Linked DNA regions of Arabidopsis thaliana. The protein of the gene in region 2 interacts with the protein of the main gene of each other region in a pairwise test. Each region holds a gene or a part of one and is shown on either strand. Other genes may lie near its edges.

The links.
Region 1: the proteins of HB-12 (region 2) and NATA1 interact in a two-hybrid assay, tested with the Arabidopsis thaliana proteins (one large-scale study listed by BioGRID).
Region 3: the proteins of HB-12 (region 2) and HAI1 interact in a two-hybrid assay, tested with the Arabidopsis thaliana proteins (one large-scale study listed by BioGRID).

What each region holds. Positions count from the first base shown.
Region 1 is NC_003071.7:16,295,709-16,300,124, reverse strand, and holds NATA1 (Acyl-CoA N-acyltransferases (NAT) superfamily protein), read right to left. Parts: upstream 2,016-4,416; 5' UTR 1,866-2,015; coding exon 1,179-1,865; 3' UTR 920-1,178; downstream 1-919. Other genes in the region: AT2G39040 (Peroxidase superfamily protein), read left to right, coding at 244-662; AT2G39020 (Acyl-CoA N-acyltransferases (NAT) superfamily protein), read right to left, coding at 4,023-4,416. UniProt on the Arabidopsis thaliana protein: Acetyltransferase that converts ornithine to N5-acetylornithine, which is likely used in plant defense.
Region 2 is NC_003074.8:22,913,311-22,917,854, forward strand, and holds HB-12 (homeobox 12), read right to left. Parts: upstream 2,084-4,544; 5' UTR 1,930-2,083; coding exon 1,576-1,929; intron 1,390-1,575; coding exon 1,036-1,389; 3' UTR 844-1,035; downstream 1-843. UniProt on the Arabidopsis thaliana protein: Probable transcription activator that may act as growth regulators in response to water deficit.
Region 3 is NC_003076.8:23,893,485-23,899,498, forward strand, and holds HAI1 (PP2C protein (Clade A protein phosphatases type 2C)), read right to left. Parts: upstream 3,456-6,014; 5' UTR 3,014-3,455; coding exon 2,537-3,013; intron 2,454-2,536; coding exon 2,151-2,453; intron 1,782-2,150; coding exon 1,676-1,781; coding exon of another isoform or gene 1,653-1,675; exon of another isoform or gene 1,544-1,652; coding exon 1,188-1,543; 3' UTR 920-1,187; downstream 1-919. Other genes in the region: AT5G59210 (myosin heavy chain-like protein), read right to left, coding at 1-2, 100-135. UniProt on the Arabidopsis thaliana protein: Acts as a negative regulator of abscisic acid (ABA) signaling for stomatal closure in leaves, and controls water loss during leaf senescence. Activated by the NAC029/NAP transcription factor during ABA signaling in senescing leaves.

The DNA of each region.
Region 1 (4,416 bases), on a different chromosome or scaffold from region 2:
GAAGTGTATGGGATGCTACAAATTAATTTCCTCCAATCTTCAAGAAAAAGTATAATATCCGATCGTATATATACCATCAAATATTTGAGGATAATCTTGGAAAAGGCGTTGCACGTGATAATTATTCAAAAGTCAATTAATCTTCTTAGGAATGATACACTAATATTTTCATATAAATCATTCATTTAATCACCTAATTTTTCGATTATATATTAAAAAGAAACGAAATTGTATGAAAAATAGGAGCACACACGATAGGAATAGCACATTGCGGTGTGTTTGGCAGAAGGCTCTTGAACTTCACCGGAAAAGGGGACACAGATCCTTCCCTAAACCCTAGTTACGCCTCCTTCCTCAAATCCGAATGCTCCGACAAATCTTTAAGACTCAACCCTTCCGCAGTGGTCGGAATGGACCCTACTGGTCCTCTCGCCTTTGACAGTGGCTACTTCGTCTCTCTACTCAAGAACAAAGGACTCTTCACCTCCGACGCCGCCTTGTTGACTGATCCCTCCGCCGCTCACATTGCTAGTGTTTTCCAAAACTCCGGCGCTTTTCTTGCTCAGTTTGGTCGGTCCATGATAAAGATGAGTTCCATCAAAGTCCTTACTCTTGGAGATCAAGGTGGTGAGATTCGTAAAAATTGTCGCCTCGTCAACTGATAAATTTTCACTTTTTTTTTTATCTTAATACCGTATAAATTTGATTATCATGTAATCATCATTTGAGATATGTTTTTCTTAATTTTATTACAATACTAAGATTTTAATGATCCATATATATATTTAAGTGGAATTGTATGTTTCCAATTTATCTGTTTAATTACCACTTCTATGTCTTTTTGACAAGGCCCGTACTTTAGCATGTGTAAGTAGAACGCTGTCCGGTTAAAAAAAAAACAGTGCAGTCTCTATATAAATTGAGGTCAATAATTTAAAAATTTTATTTATTCACATTAAATACACCTTGAAAACTTCTTTTAAACATGGCTTATAAATAGTTTGAAGAAATCTCCATTTTATTCAAATCCGAAAACACAGAAGATACTTTTGTAACCATAATCACAAATACATCTTTATCTTAAACTTGAGATGTTTTATTCAACAAATTAAAAACAAGTGAGAAACAAACTTTAAAGGACCGATCGCTCGATGGGTCTCATGCAAATCATCATGCTGCTAGATGTTTAGCTTGTCAATAGCTTGAAGTGCATCGCCAGTGAGCCTACAAAGTCTCCATTCCTTAAAAACCTGCGCACCCATCTGCTCATAGAAGTTGATAGCATTCACATTCCAATCGATCACAATCCACTCCACTCTTCCGACACCCAACTTCACTGCTTGCTTTGCCACAGCGGTCAGTAGCAGTTTTCCGAAGCCTTTTCGTCTGTAAGGTTCTCTCATGAAGATATCCTCGATGTAGAAACCCTGTTTCGCTAGAAAACTTGGGTAGTTCGGGAAGAACAGAACGAATCCAGCCACCACCACGTCGTTGAGCTTATCCGGCAAGAACTTTTCTCTGTCCGGATCCTCGATAGGGAGATCAACCTTATGCGTCTCAAGAAAGGGGGTGAAATCAGGGGACGAAGCGTCATGAGTGGTGGGAAATGGGGAAGGGGAGATTTCCAAGAGGAAGACGGTGACGGCTTGGAACGGACGGGAGTTGAAGAGCGTGGAGGCAAGACCAGACTCGGTGGCGACAAAGAGATGCGTGAGGCGCTCAAAAACCGCCATCTGGTGGATTAGCTTGTGAATGAAAGGGACATCGGTCGGCGTAGCGAGGCGGATCCGGGAAAACATACGGTGGCCGGTCGGTGAAGTCTCTGGCACAGTGTTTGGCTCTGGTGCTGCGGTTGGAGGCGCCATTTTTCTGTTACTTGTTTTTGAAGATAGTGATGTGAAGATTAGGGTTTCGAGAATCCATATATATATACTATAAAAATTTGATGTTACTTGCTTCTAAGGCTGCTATCTATCATGTTTAGGATTAGAAATTATTTTACAAGCCAATCTAACTATGCCACATATGATAAACTAAAACGCTATCTCATCCTTTTTTTGACTTTTAGATCGATCCCTCTTCTTGGAAAATGTCATGTTTTACACGTTAAATTAGGTGATCACTCTCTTCTCCTTTTTGGTTTTTCGTTCAGGTTAAGAAATCAAAGAGACTCCACATTATCTACTTATGTAAGTTTTTGAACATAAAAACAATTATCACCATATCAACTCAACGTATCAGTGTAATGGTTGCGTCCCTCAATTTTCAATCCCTCAATCTCTATTATCTCATTGTATAGGTCACCGATCATCTCTCCCAAAACTTTGCAAACGGTTCTAAGTCTTTTAAACTTCCTTCTTAATAATTTGAACCTCTCATTCTATATTACGTCGTACAAATTCATTAGAGAAGATTAAGGTTTCTAATATGGCATTGAATTTTTTAAACATAATTTGGCTCTTTTGCGATTTGAGACAACGCACGACCATACCACGAAGCAAATACGGTCATCTATACCGTTTACAGTCCAATCTTCGTGAGTGAGTTCGACAATTGGTATTTTTACCAATTTAATTTAGGAAGAAATTGATGAATTTCGATAAATACCATCACCATTTGTTGAAGTCGGTAAAAAGACATATGAAGAAACGTGAAGCACATGTCGTTAAATCATGGAAAAAGACATTTTGGTTCCAAAGAAAAATACAAGAAATGAGTGAAAAATAATGACACTCCCATCGTCGTTTTATCTCATAGAAGAAGCTAGACGCTACACGTACTACTTTGATATTTATTGTCGTTAGCACAAAATAGTTAGCCGACATTGTTTACAGTATTAACAGGTGCGTTCTACATGTAGCTGGCAAGATTTGTTACGTCTCTTAGTCCAAATTTGTCGACAACAAAAATCAAATATGTATCCTGCCATTTCTTTCCAATTTTGGATTCTGTAATCACGACGATAACTTCAATGTTGTTGATAATAAAGGAAAGGAAATAAAACTATCAATTTTTTACTACTTTAATTCTTTAGCTTATGTCTTTTTATAGTTTTAATTGTTAATAAATGAATATGATTTTGAGTGTAAATCCAAATATTTTTCATAATATACTCTTCCAAAGATGAGATTTTTTGTTCAAAATACTTAACGGAATGCATGATATTAGTAGAATGTATCTGTCCAGTTTTATGTCCAGTTTCATGTTTAACAAACAAAAAACTAGTCTCACTCTTTTTTACTTTTGGTTCAGTTTTAAAGTTTTACCGATAAATTGCAAGTGAATTAATCTCAATCAAAGAGATGTTCTTTAAAGCCAGTAGGACAACTAGAGATGTTGAAGTGTTTGTGCATTCTTCTACAAATTTTACAACCCACTTAAGCCCATTTATAAGAGTAGAATCATTTTCGTAAAATGGGGTCTTTTGTTCTCTATGTTAACACAAAAGCGGAATGTTTTGTTGTAGTAATAAAAATAGATGAATTTTTGTTTCATGCTCACGGTTTCTTAATTCTCTATACAACAAGACAGAGAGTCAGAGACTACTAAAACTTAGTTTTTATTGTCTTCTATAGTAACTGAAGCAAGAAGGCTTAACCTATATAGTTTGCAATTAGACTTGTGTGTGCCTCGCAAGCAACTTAACCATTCTACATTTGATCACAATTTCTTCATTTGACCAATTTATCTGTACTCTCCAATTCACTGTCCTCTAGGATCACAAAACCAATTCTTCAAATCCATAACACAGAACAAATACTTTGGTCAAGCAAATATGACGAGGAATCACACAAATACATAACTCTTACTTTAAAAACTCGAAACATTTCATACATTCAACAAAAGGGTTCTTTTTTCTCATTCAGTATCCAACAAGTAAGCATAGAGAATTCATCATCATCATCATCATCAATGCCAACACTTGCATAAAGTAACAACAAGAAGAAGGAAAAAAAACACAAACTTTAAAAGCAAGAGGAAGTGATCTGATTCGATAACTCTCAGCAACACAGCATCAATCTCTAGATGTTGACCTGATCAAAAGCTTCAAGAGCATCACCAGTAAGTCTACAAACTCTCCACTCCTGCAGAATCTGAGCACCCATCTGCTCATAAAACTTGATAGCATTAACATTCCAATCAAGAACAACCCATTCCACTCTTCCATAACCCATCTTCACCGCTTGTTTGGCCACAGCAGTCAACAACATGCTACCAAACCCTTTCCTCCTATAAGGCTCTCTCACAAATATATCCTCAATGTAAAAACCAGGCTTGGACAAAAAGCTAGAGTAATTCGGGAAAAACAGAACAAACCCAGCTACAACGACGTCGTTCAACATATCCGGCGAGAAATTGTAACTCTCCGGATCATCAATCGGGAGATCAAGGTTATGTGTTTTGAAAAACGGTGTG
Region 2 (4,544 bases):
ATTCACTGAAAGTATCCAATATCTAGATATTGTTCTTGGTCCAAGATTTGGATTTGTTTCGAAGATAAAAAGTAAAATGGAAGTGATATGCAAACCCTGTTGGGTAACTCTTTCTAAGTTGGGTTTAGTTTGATGAATAAGAGTTTTAAAGCCCATCGTGATAAGGCCCATATTGTCCGACCCATTTCGAAGGGTTTGCTTTATACAGGAGCGGGACTTTAAAAAAGGAAACATATGAAAGAGACGTTGAAAACTTCAATTCCCAAAATACCCCCATATTATACAGAACAGAACCATAAGAGAAACATTGGTTTGCTTTGATTTCTCAAGGAAGAAGGGATGATCCAGGGGCTACCGTTGCTACAAGATTAAGGACACTATAAAGACTTGACTTAGAGCCATTCTTTTACATTCTGTTGAGAGTCTGGTTACAAAGCACATGTCCCACATGACATCAATCATAGGAAGATTATCATGACTCGATTGTTCCTTATAAACTGGAAAGACAAACACCAAAAGGAACTAGTTCTGCATCTACAAGAAGTTGTTCCATATCTGCCAATCCAGCTACAAATATCTCATAGGAAGGGAGTGACAGAGTAACCTGAGCTGATGAACCGGAATGTGATCAAAACTGATATTTGGTGATAAAATTCATAGACAATTCATCTCGAGGATATTGAAAGCATTATAGCAGAGCACCAATATAGAGATAAATGCACTTAGTTTCAAATTTAGGTCAATTTTTAGTCCGTTTCGAGATCATTATGGACGAAGACTCTTGTACTTGTGATCATTACGCTTGGTCCAACACTCTTAGAGCCAACTTGCAATCACAAATTTAACCTTGGTGACTTCAAAACTTTTCTAGTCTCATTATAAGCTACTAATTAGCTACAAAGAGTATTGAACATAGTAGATACATAGATCGAAACAAGATTTAAACTAAACTAAATTTATTTTTCTTAACACATAATTTACAAACTATTCACACTCTTTCTCTTCGCTTATGTTCTGTTTTTTTCTTATATGCTTTTATGACCAAAACTCCCACCAGTTAGGGTAATTGCTGCTAGATTGGTCTAAGAGAGAATCAGAATTGAAACCTCCCCAATTCTCAGAAGATGTCAAGCAACTATCATCAGCTTTCTCCACAATGTTCATCAGCTCATGATCAGTCTCTTCCTCGAACCCAAAATACTCTGTTTTAATGTTGTTGTTGTAATCACCATCATTACATAGAACACTCCCTTGGTCTAACCTCCCTTCTGGCTCACTCTTTCCATTATGCGACTCTGTGCTGCTGCTTAGAGCCAGTCCTTGATCACCACAACACTCATGATGCTTTTCTTCTTTAGGCCTTTGCATCTCTTCGTTTAGTCTCTGCAGCTGCAAATAGAGATTGATTAATATCAAATTAGGCAAAATGATCGAGAATTTACATCCCCCAAAAACCAATAAATGCCAAGACTGTATTTGCTATTTTATACTTTATAAAAAAAAAAGATCATTATCAATTATTGTTTCTATCACTGTTCAATTAAAGATAAAGATATCGATAGAATCATTATGTACCTCAGAGACCAGAGATTGCTTTTCTTTCTTCATGATTTCAAATTGTGAAGCCAAATTGTTGTAATTGGCTCTAAGAGTGTTATACTCTTTCTCAAGTTGCTTAGTTTTCCATCGAGCCCTCTTGTTTTGAAACCATATAGCCACTTGTCTTGGTTGCAGCCCTAGCTCTCTAGCTACCTGAACCTTCTTCCTCGGCTCAAGCCTCGTCTCAGACTCAAATATAAGCTCAAGTGACTTGATCTGTTCCTCGCTAAACCTCTTTTGGTTATTGCTCTTCTTCATCTTCTTCTTATTCATGGTCATGCCACTACTAATCTCGCTGAAACAGCAGTTGAAAAAATCTCCTTCTTCCATGGTTTTCACCAGATCTTGTAAGTTTCTTGATTTTGATTAAGAGAGAAGGTTTTGGAATTATTTGTTTCTTTTTTTTCTTTCTTTCTGGAATCTCTGAGTTGCTGATATTGGCCGCTTATATATAATGTGGGAGTTACTATGTGTGCTTGTGTAGGGCCTCGGATTTCTATTATTTTTTATATTTGGAAATTTCATTATTCAACCAAGACAAAATAAACTCATTGAATAAAAAGACCTGCAAATATTGTGGAACCACGGGCTAAAAATATACGTCCAAAATTTGTGGCTCGACACGAATTGGCTCATGTCTCTTTCAGTTTAAGTCGTATTTCATTTAGATGTGAACTAATCATCTAACTACTGATAATATTTTCATACTTTTTTTCCTTTATAATATAAGTATTATCAGCTTTTATATGTTTCATGGAAGTGATCAAGTGAATGATAACGTGGGTTGACAATCAAACGGGCGAACTGGCTTTGGTTACATCAATTAATCACCATACATATTTTACTTTTTAACAGTTTGGCCGTTCCTAAGAAAAATGAAGCAGTTTATAATGAAACAAAAAAAAAAACTCGATTATTTTGCTTTTCTTGCATATAAAAGGCATTTTTGAAAATAGAATTTAGCAGCAGCCTAGATGATCGTTGTACTATGTTTTAACATGCAACAACGTATATCATCATTTAACATGTGACTGCCAAGGCCTTGCGATACTTTTATTAGTCAAGATAATATTGATAGATAATCATTACGAAAGAGAGAGAAAGACGGATCGTATTAAGCAATAATTTTATTCGATTGTGTAACGAGATTCCACGTTCACATATCAGGATGTTTGACGGGTGTTAATTAGTGTGTTATAATTAAGATTAAAATAATCTCCATTTTCATTTGAGATTTCATTTGTCGTTACTCGCACGCCATACTTTAGAGGTCGGTTACGTGAAACACGTTTTAACGAGACTTTTCATTAGTGTATTATATACTATGTTCTAAAATAAACCTACTCTTGATTTATCTCGCTAAATTCCAAAAGAAGATTAATCATGGTTAAAATTGTGGCCGCATGTGGTAAGCTGGCAAATAATTTTGCAACTCTTCAATTCATTGCCCAAGAAAAATAAAAAATAAAAAATAAATTAAGATATATTTGCATATCACATACCGTACTATAGTTTACGCGATGTTTTACGCGTTTAATTTCGTTACACGGAAACAATAAGATGATCACGAGTAAGGATTATAGATTTATTGACTTCCATGCAAATGTTTAAAGTTTTAAACTCAATTATGAGATTTCTTGACTTTCTTGTAACTAAACAAGTAATCTGACCTAATTACTATCCTCTTGGTTTCCTTTTCAACATGCCGTTTTAGTTTTCTTCTAAAAAGTATACACAATCCAGAAAAGAAATATAAACCAGTGGTGTTCCTATTATTTATTTGACCTTTTTCCATTTTTCTAAAACCAATAGTACTAAATATAATATGAAATCTAAAAAGATTATTATACCTCTATTAATAAGCTAACTATTATGGATAGAAGTATCTTGTCTAAAATATATGCATTAAACATACAAAATAACAGTTTACATAAACAGAAATAAATTAAAATTCTACAACAATTACTTATTAGAAAACGAAGTCAGTGTAGTATGTTTTTTTTTAGACACGAAGTTAATATGTTTATTCTTACAAAATTACACAAGTTCCGTTCCGTCTTAGGCTCTGAAACACTAATTATCTTAACCATGGGATTTTGAAAGTTTGTAATTTTAAGCAACAATATTAATGATAAACGCAACTTATATAATTAATGTTCTAATGATTAGTTTAAGGTTACGTTCACCTTGCTTCTCGGAAATCTCTTTTGACTTATTAAATACAAACAACAAATTAAATTCGGCCATTTGTGAACTATGGCGGCTTCATCGATCCAACGTCACTTTAGCCTTAAGCCATTAAAATTAAAAAAATTATAAATAATCTATTACTTTGCTTTAAAACCAGAAAATTACTTCATGAAAAAAAATATTTGAATAGAATGACTTACATCGACTTATTTCAACAAGGAAATGGACGAAAGTTTTGGTATACAATGTAATGAATCAGATCTGTAGACATTTCAGACAAGTAGCAATCAAAGTTGTCAAGATCAACCACTGACTCATTGCCATTTGGCACCATTAAGAAAGCCAAGTTGATGAGAAGATGACGTGGTGATTGCTTTGTGGCTGTGTATGAAAATTGCGTCCGACAAATGTTATCACGTGTCGAGGTTAGCTTAAATGTAGCAGTTCTTGATAAGATGCGTAAGAGAAGATGATTCTTTACTTCTATTTTTTCTTTCATTTGTCTAAGAGAAATCTGGTTCTGTTTAATGATAAAGATTAAACTAGTAATATGGTTTTGAGAAATAAAACTTAAGAAATCAAATTTCGTCCTCTTTAATTAGATTTACATCTTGGCTATGATTTCTAATACTTACTAAACGTAGTTTTGGCTCATTTAATTTGGATAAATTTAACAGAACATATACATAAGACTATAGAGCCTTTTAAAGTCATATTTGTTTAATTATTATTTTTAAGGCGCCTTGTCATTTCAT
Region 3 (6,014 bases), on a different chromosome or scaffold from region 2:
AACTACAAGATCACAGAAATTAATAACAACAAAAAAGCACCGATGTAAGAAACTGTCTTCAGATGAAGATAAAGACGGCCATATCGGAAATATCCTTACAGTACGGCGACCTAGAGACGCGTGGTGCGATTCCATGGTATGATTCCTCTCCTCGGAATTTCGAACGTCGATTTAACGGTGAGGAAATCGCCGGCGACAAAAATGGAATATATCTATATTTGGGCTTATAGGAGTGTTAAATAGGCCCATGGACATATATAACTCTCTGACCTTGAAAGCGAGCCCAGTTTTTCAATTTCAAAAAGAAAAAAAAAATTGAATAAAAGTTGAAAACAGGATGATAAAAGAAAACCAGTTTCCGACAAAAAAAAAAAAAAAAAAAAAAAACCAGTTTATGCAATTGCAAAGACATTTAAAAGAAAAAAAAACGAGAATGTTCAAAAAAATCGTTAGGCGATAGCTAGGAGTTCGATTCTAAAAAAGTTACCAAAGTTTGGCGGTTGGAAACGGTTGGAAGTTATCAAAGCTTGAATCATCATTTTGATTTCTAAGTACTTTAAACAATGTTCAGTCTTAATGATCGACATCTTCTAATATGTCACATGATAAAGTGTGAACCATACCCGTTTGATGAAGAGTTATATAAACATGTTTTATAGATTATGTTGGCAAAAAAAAAAAAAAAACGTTTTACATAATAAGAAAAAAATGTTATAATATTGAATCCTCCCAATTAACCTTTGAAGTATTCTATACCGATTGTTTGCCTTGTTTAGTTACAAAATACACTTGAAAACAAATTCCTTAGTAAATATTTGGTTCTTTTCCTATTCTTAAAGATATCAGTCTAACATTTCTAATATTCCTATAAACATCGTCCTATATATAACAAAAAATAAATTTAAAAAGGTAAGATTTTGTTATGATCAACTGATTCTATTAAATTTAAAATTAAATTGAACTCAAGTCTTTCACATTTCACGGCTTTTTACCATTTTCACTACTGGTGAAAATCTTTGTAGATCTAAACCGCGATTCAACACAGTGACTGACATAACCCATAGTCAAGCTAAATTAAAAACCCTTCGTTGTCTTACACCGAAGAGCAAAAAAGGTTAAAAGAAAAAGCCCAAAAGTCGATGACTCAGGACAAAAAACAACAAACATTACGAGAGAGACAAATACAACTACGTGTCTCGTCGTAGATCAACCACCACAACACTTACGTTGTCCGAACTTTGTCTAGCCAACGCAAGCCTCGTCAGCAACAGCGACGCCTCCTCACACGCTTTATCTGGCAAATCTCCTCCTCCAACCACCACATTCCCGGCGCCGACACCTGTCATTTCCCTTTCCGGTGATGATGATACTTGACCATTGACTTTTCCTCTCAAACACATTCGAACGACGCTACATGCAGTTTCGTTTGAAACAACGTCCCAAAGACCGTCACTTGCGAGAATAAGAAAATCGTCTCCGTTGGCCCGGTCCGTCACGGTTACCTCCGGTCTGCTGATTACATACGGCTTCAAGTAATTATCTCCTGAAAAAAAAAAAAAAAATCCGCGGCGAAACGAGAGTTAATAATCATCATTATTGAAAGTACGGAAAAACTTTGTACAAACATTAGGATAGGGACAAGAGTGTTTTCGTCAAGTGTAATCAATTAACTGACCAATGGCTCGTGACATTGCAAGTACTCCAAGGACACGTGGGCCATCCCAGTAGATAACACGACCACCCGCTGCTTGAATCCGGTCTAGCTCGTCCGGACGGTCTGGCTGTTACAACAAATTTAAACAAGAGAGAGAGAGAGAATGATATAGTCATTGATAACAGTGACACGAAGGATTAAAGAATCTTAAAACTCATAAACTTTATCAGATCCTCTATCTAAAAAGTAAAAAGTCATTAAACATTCTTAATCGTCGTCCAGGTGTTGCATGCACATTAAAGAAGATTCTAATTTCCAATAAATGAAATAATAAATAAAAAATGCATTAAACAATATTAATAGGTAAGTTTCGAACGCAACACGTAACGAAATTCTCGTTTCATTACAGTGAGTAAACCATAACCGTAGATCTAACGGATAAACATTTAACGATGGATAAACGAAACAAGAGAGATTATCAAAAAACGAACAAAACCTTATGATCGGAGGATAAAGCAATGGCTTTGCCGTTACGACAGAGAACGGCACGTGAGTCACCGCAATTCGCCACGATGATTTTCTCCGGCGTAAGGACAGACACAACCGCAGTGGATCCCACCGCGTCGCAGTCCGGCCTCTGAAGCTCGCACCGGCATTTTGCCGCACCATCGGCGTTCAACGCAACAACCTCCATGTCCATGCGCGTGAAGCTACGCGCCATTGACTTTTCCCAGTCAGCATCAGCTTCAAACTCTTCACGGACTAGCTCGTGTAGTCTTTCTCTACATTTCATCGCTACCTAAACATCATATTATTAAAATTAAAAACCGACGTCGTAACGGTCAATTAAAGGATAATTTTTATAATAAAACGACGTCGTACATGGGAACAGCCATGGCCATCGTAAACGCCGCAATAGTGAAATCCGGTGGATGAATATTCCGTCTGATGACGGGAAAAAAACGGATGCACAGCGACGGCGTCTTCCATTTCACGTCTTCTTCCACAGACTGAAGCGACGCCGTATTTAGGATAAGCTTCAGGATCAGGCAATGCCACAACCGTTGAACTAAGAGACTCGCATAGGACGACAACTTCCTTCGCCGTTTCGTAAAACACGGTGGAGGTGGAGGCTGCGACGGTGGATTCTCTTCTCCTCCGCCTCTGTAAGTCACCGTCGACGAAGACAGGTTCTTGTTCGCCGGAAACAAACTTAAACCTCCGGATCTCCATTCTCCTTCTTCTCGCTGCTTGAGACGAGCTCCGTTCTCGTCTCCTCGTTGTCGTCGTTGCCTTCTTCACCACCGTCGCCGTCGTTTCAATCATCATAGTCTCGTTCTCGTAACAAATCTCAGCCATGTGATCGTCAAAACTATTCAACAAACACACTCCATCACTCTCCCCCGAAAAAAAACTAGTGAACGAGACACAGGAGAGAGAAGAAGAAGAGAAGCTTAAACAAGATTAGCCATGGAAGCTTTATATTAGCTTCTTTCACCAGAAGATATAAATAAATATAATCATCTTTATATTTACGGGCAGATGACCGAGACTTTTGAACGGGCAGATCAAAACTCAAAATCAAAATGAAGGAATGAAGAAGAGGAGATTGTTGAATGGCGTGACGTATCGCTCCTCTATCTGGACGACGAAATCTTGACCGTTGATTGTGTCCACGTGTAAAACGTACTTCTCCTAAATCGCGATACGAAACACTTACGTGCACCAATCAAAGTCTAACACTACTCAGACCTAAAGTGAAAAAGAACCTTTGATGACACGCATGCGATCTCTAAACCTCTTTTTTTTTTTTTAAGATTTTTACCAAGTTTTGTTGTGGAAATTTACCTTACCATTTTAATTTGTTTTACTATAAATACAACTAATTACGTCATCACTTTCATCACAACTTACTATTACATATGGAAATCAACCAATAGTTTGTTTTTCTTTCAATCATTTAATATAACATGAGATCTCTTAACCTCTTATTTTATAGATTCTTACCATATTTTGTTGTGTAAATTTATTACCACTTCCATTTGTTTTACTATAAACTATCACTAATTACGTCATCACTGCTAATCAATTCAATAGAAAGGTTGGAAACAAATAATCTTTTTATCTGAGTGAAAACTAAGATGGTGTTTTAGGCTTTTAGCTGGTGATGACGATTCATCGCGTTTGTTTCATTGTGAGCGTGACAATACGGTATATATCATCGTTTCTAAAGTTTGGTGTGTTCAAGGACAAATTATTATAGAAAAAATTGACCATCTGCGACTACGAAACATAAGAGAAAAATGTGATAATTGTAGAATATGTCACTACAAATATAACCTTGGTGCGTGAATACTTCTTAGAAACAATTTGAGACTGCATATGCTTTTTTTTTTAATTAGAACAATTTCTTATTTGCTAGAAAAGTAAGTTCAAATTTGTGAGTTATCATTTCAACACTTGTTTTGTTTCGTTTGTTTTACTTGTCTGGTCTATTAGTTTTGTTCTGCATTTGTTCCATTTGTTTCATCCCTTTTTTTATGCTGCAAGTGCAAACAGTCAGAGTTTTCAAATAAATATATTTAAGAGATTTTATATGGGCCGGGGAACTAATATTCAAAGATTTTAAAGGATATCTTACCTAGTTTTACAATTGAGATGATGAAAATGAATTTGAAAACTTATTCATGGTTTTAATCTTGACAAGTGTCCGGAATATTCAATGATTTATAATCGTGCAATCTTATGACTTATCAGACAGTTCTAAACTAATTTTACATCTATTTTTAAAATATCACCATCTTATGTTTGACATTACAATTTTCTTAGTTGATAAGTAGCATTTTGTGAATACAATAAAAGTGAACATCATTCTCCAATGTTTGACACAATATTGGGTTTTTGGGAATTTAAAATAAAAGCAACTGAAAAACAGAAATGATCATACGTTCTACATTGGACAATGGACATGTTAAATTCGAGTGAACTATATATTATACACTTATAATTTTCTTTTGTGGGCAAAAATTATAAGATATTCAATCAACAATTAGAAATAAACAAAATATAACGTTTTCAATTCTAAATCAATCAGGAATGACATCCAATGAGATACAAGTACGTAGATGGGTTTTGGTGGAAACTGGGGACCACTTCTCTATTACTAACATTTAACAACGTTGACCCCTCTCTGACCTGTTTTCTTCCTCGATGTTCGACACGTGTTTACATTCTCTACTTTTATGTCTTGACCAAGATTTTTTCTGTGTCAACATTCGTTTACTATGCATTAAGTAGGATCGAGAGTTGTAATTTGGGCTTTAACTGTTACTTACGTTACGCCGATGAATCTTATGTTTATGTAATGTGATGATGATATTTTAGTTAGTTAGTATTAATACAAAAATAATTCATAACCTAACTAAAATTAAGGAAAGAAAGAGAGAAGCTCAGCTTTTCGCGGAAAATTCTCTGGGACGTGGCGGCAAGCAATAGGATGATGATTTGAATTATGTGAGTCCCACATCACAGAACAAAACAAAATCAAAAGGTTGAAAAAAAACGAAGCGCGTGTGTAACACATGACACGTGTCCTCTGAAGCTGCATAGCAGTTGCCAGGTTTTTGAAGTTGACAGTAGGCAAATACATTGTGCCACGTGAAAGCTTCATCTTTCTTTCAAATATTATTATTATTAAAATTTAACCTGAAAACAAATTCGTCATCGACCAACAAGTCACTAACCATCACTTTCAAATCTTATGTAAAAATATAAGGTGAAAATTAGTTCCATTAAAATCTATGTTACTTTTGTTGTTTGTTTAGTGATTTCAATATATATATATAAATGTTGGTTAACTATATCATTTGATACTTGATAGGAATACGAAAAAATAAAATTATAACTGAAACATGGTTAGTTACTTTAGTAGGTGGTTGGAGAGCTTTCGGTAAGGAGACAATATATTGTCCTAGCTAGTTTGATTAATTATCTCGTCTTTGTTTTGTAACTTTGAATTGAAATCTTACCAATTTGTCGTTGGAATTTCCACATCACACATGATTAGTTATATACATTAATACAAAATGCTTTTCTTGATAATGAACAATGCCCGATCTCATACATTTTTCAAACTCGATGTTGAGTTATGTGTTTAATGGATTCTCCTGTTTAAATTTATTTCAAAACCATGCGCCAAACTCAACATCTAGTTTGAAAAACACAAACTTTAAACTCAAAACACAAATATTTTTCCTATTCCTAACCACTAGTCTGTAAAAGCTTAATGTTCCAATCTAAACGTAAGTTGTTTGAAAGAAAGTTCGGCAATTACGAGGAACCAATGAGGTGTCACCATTGT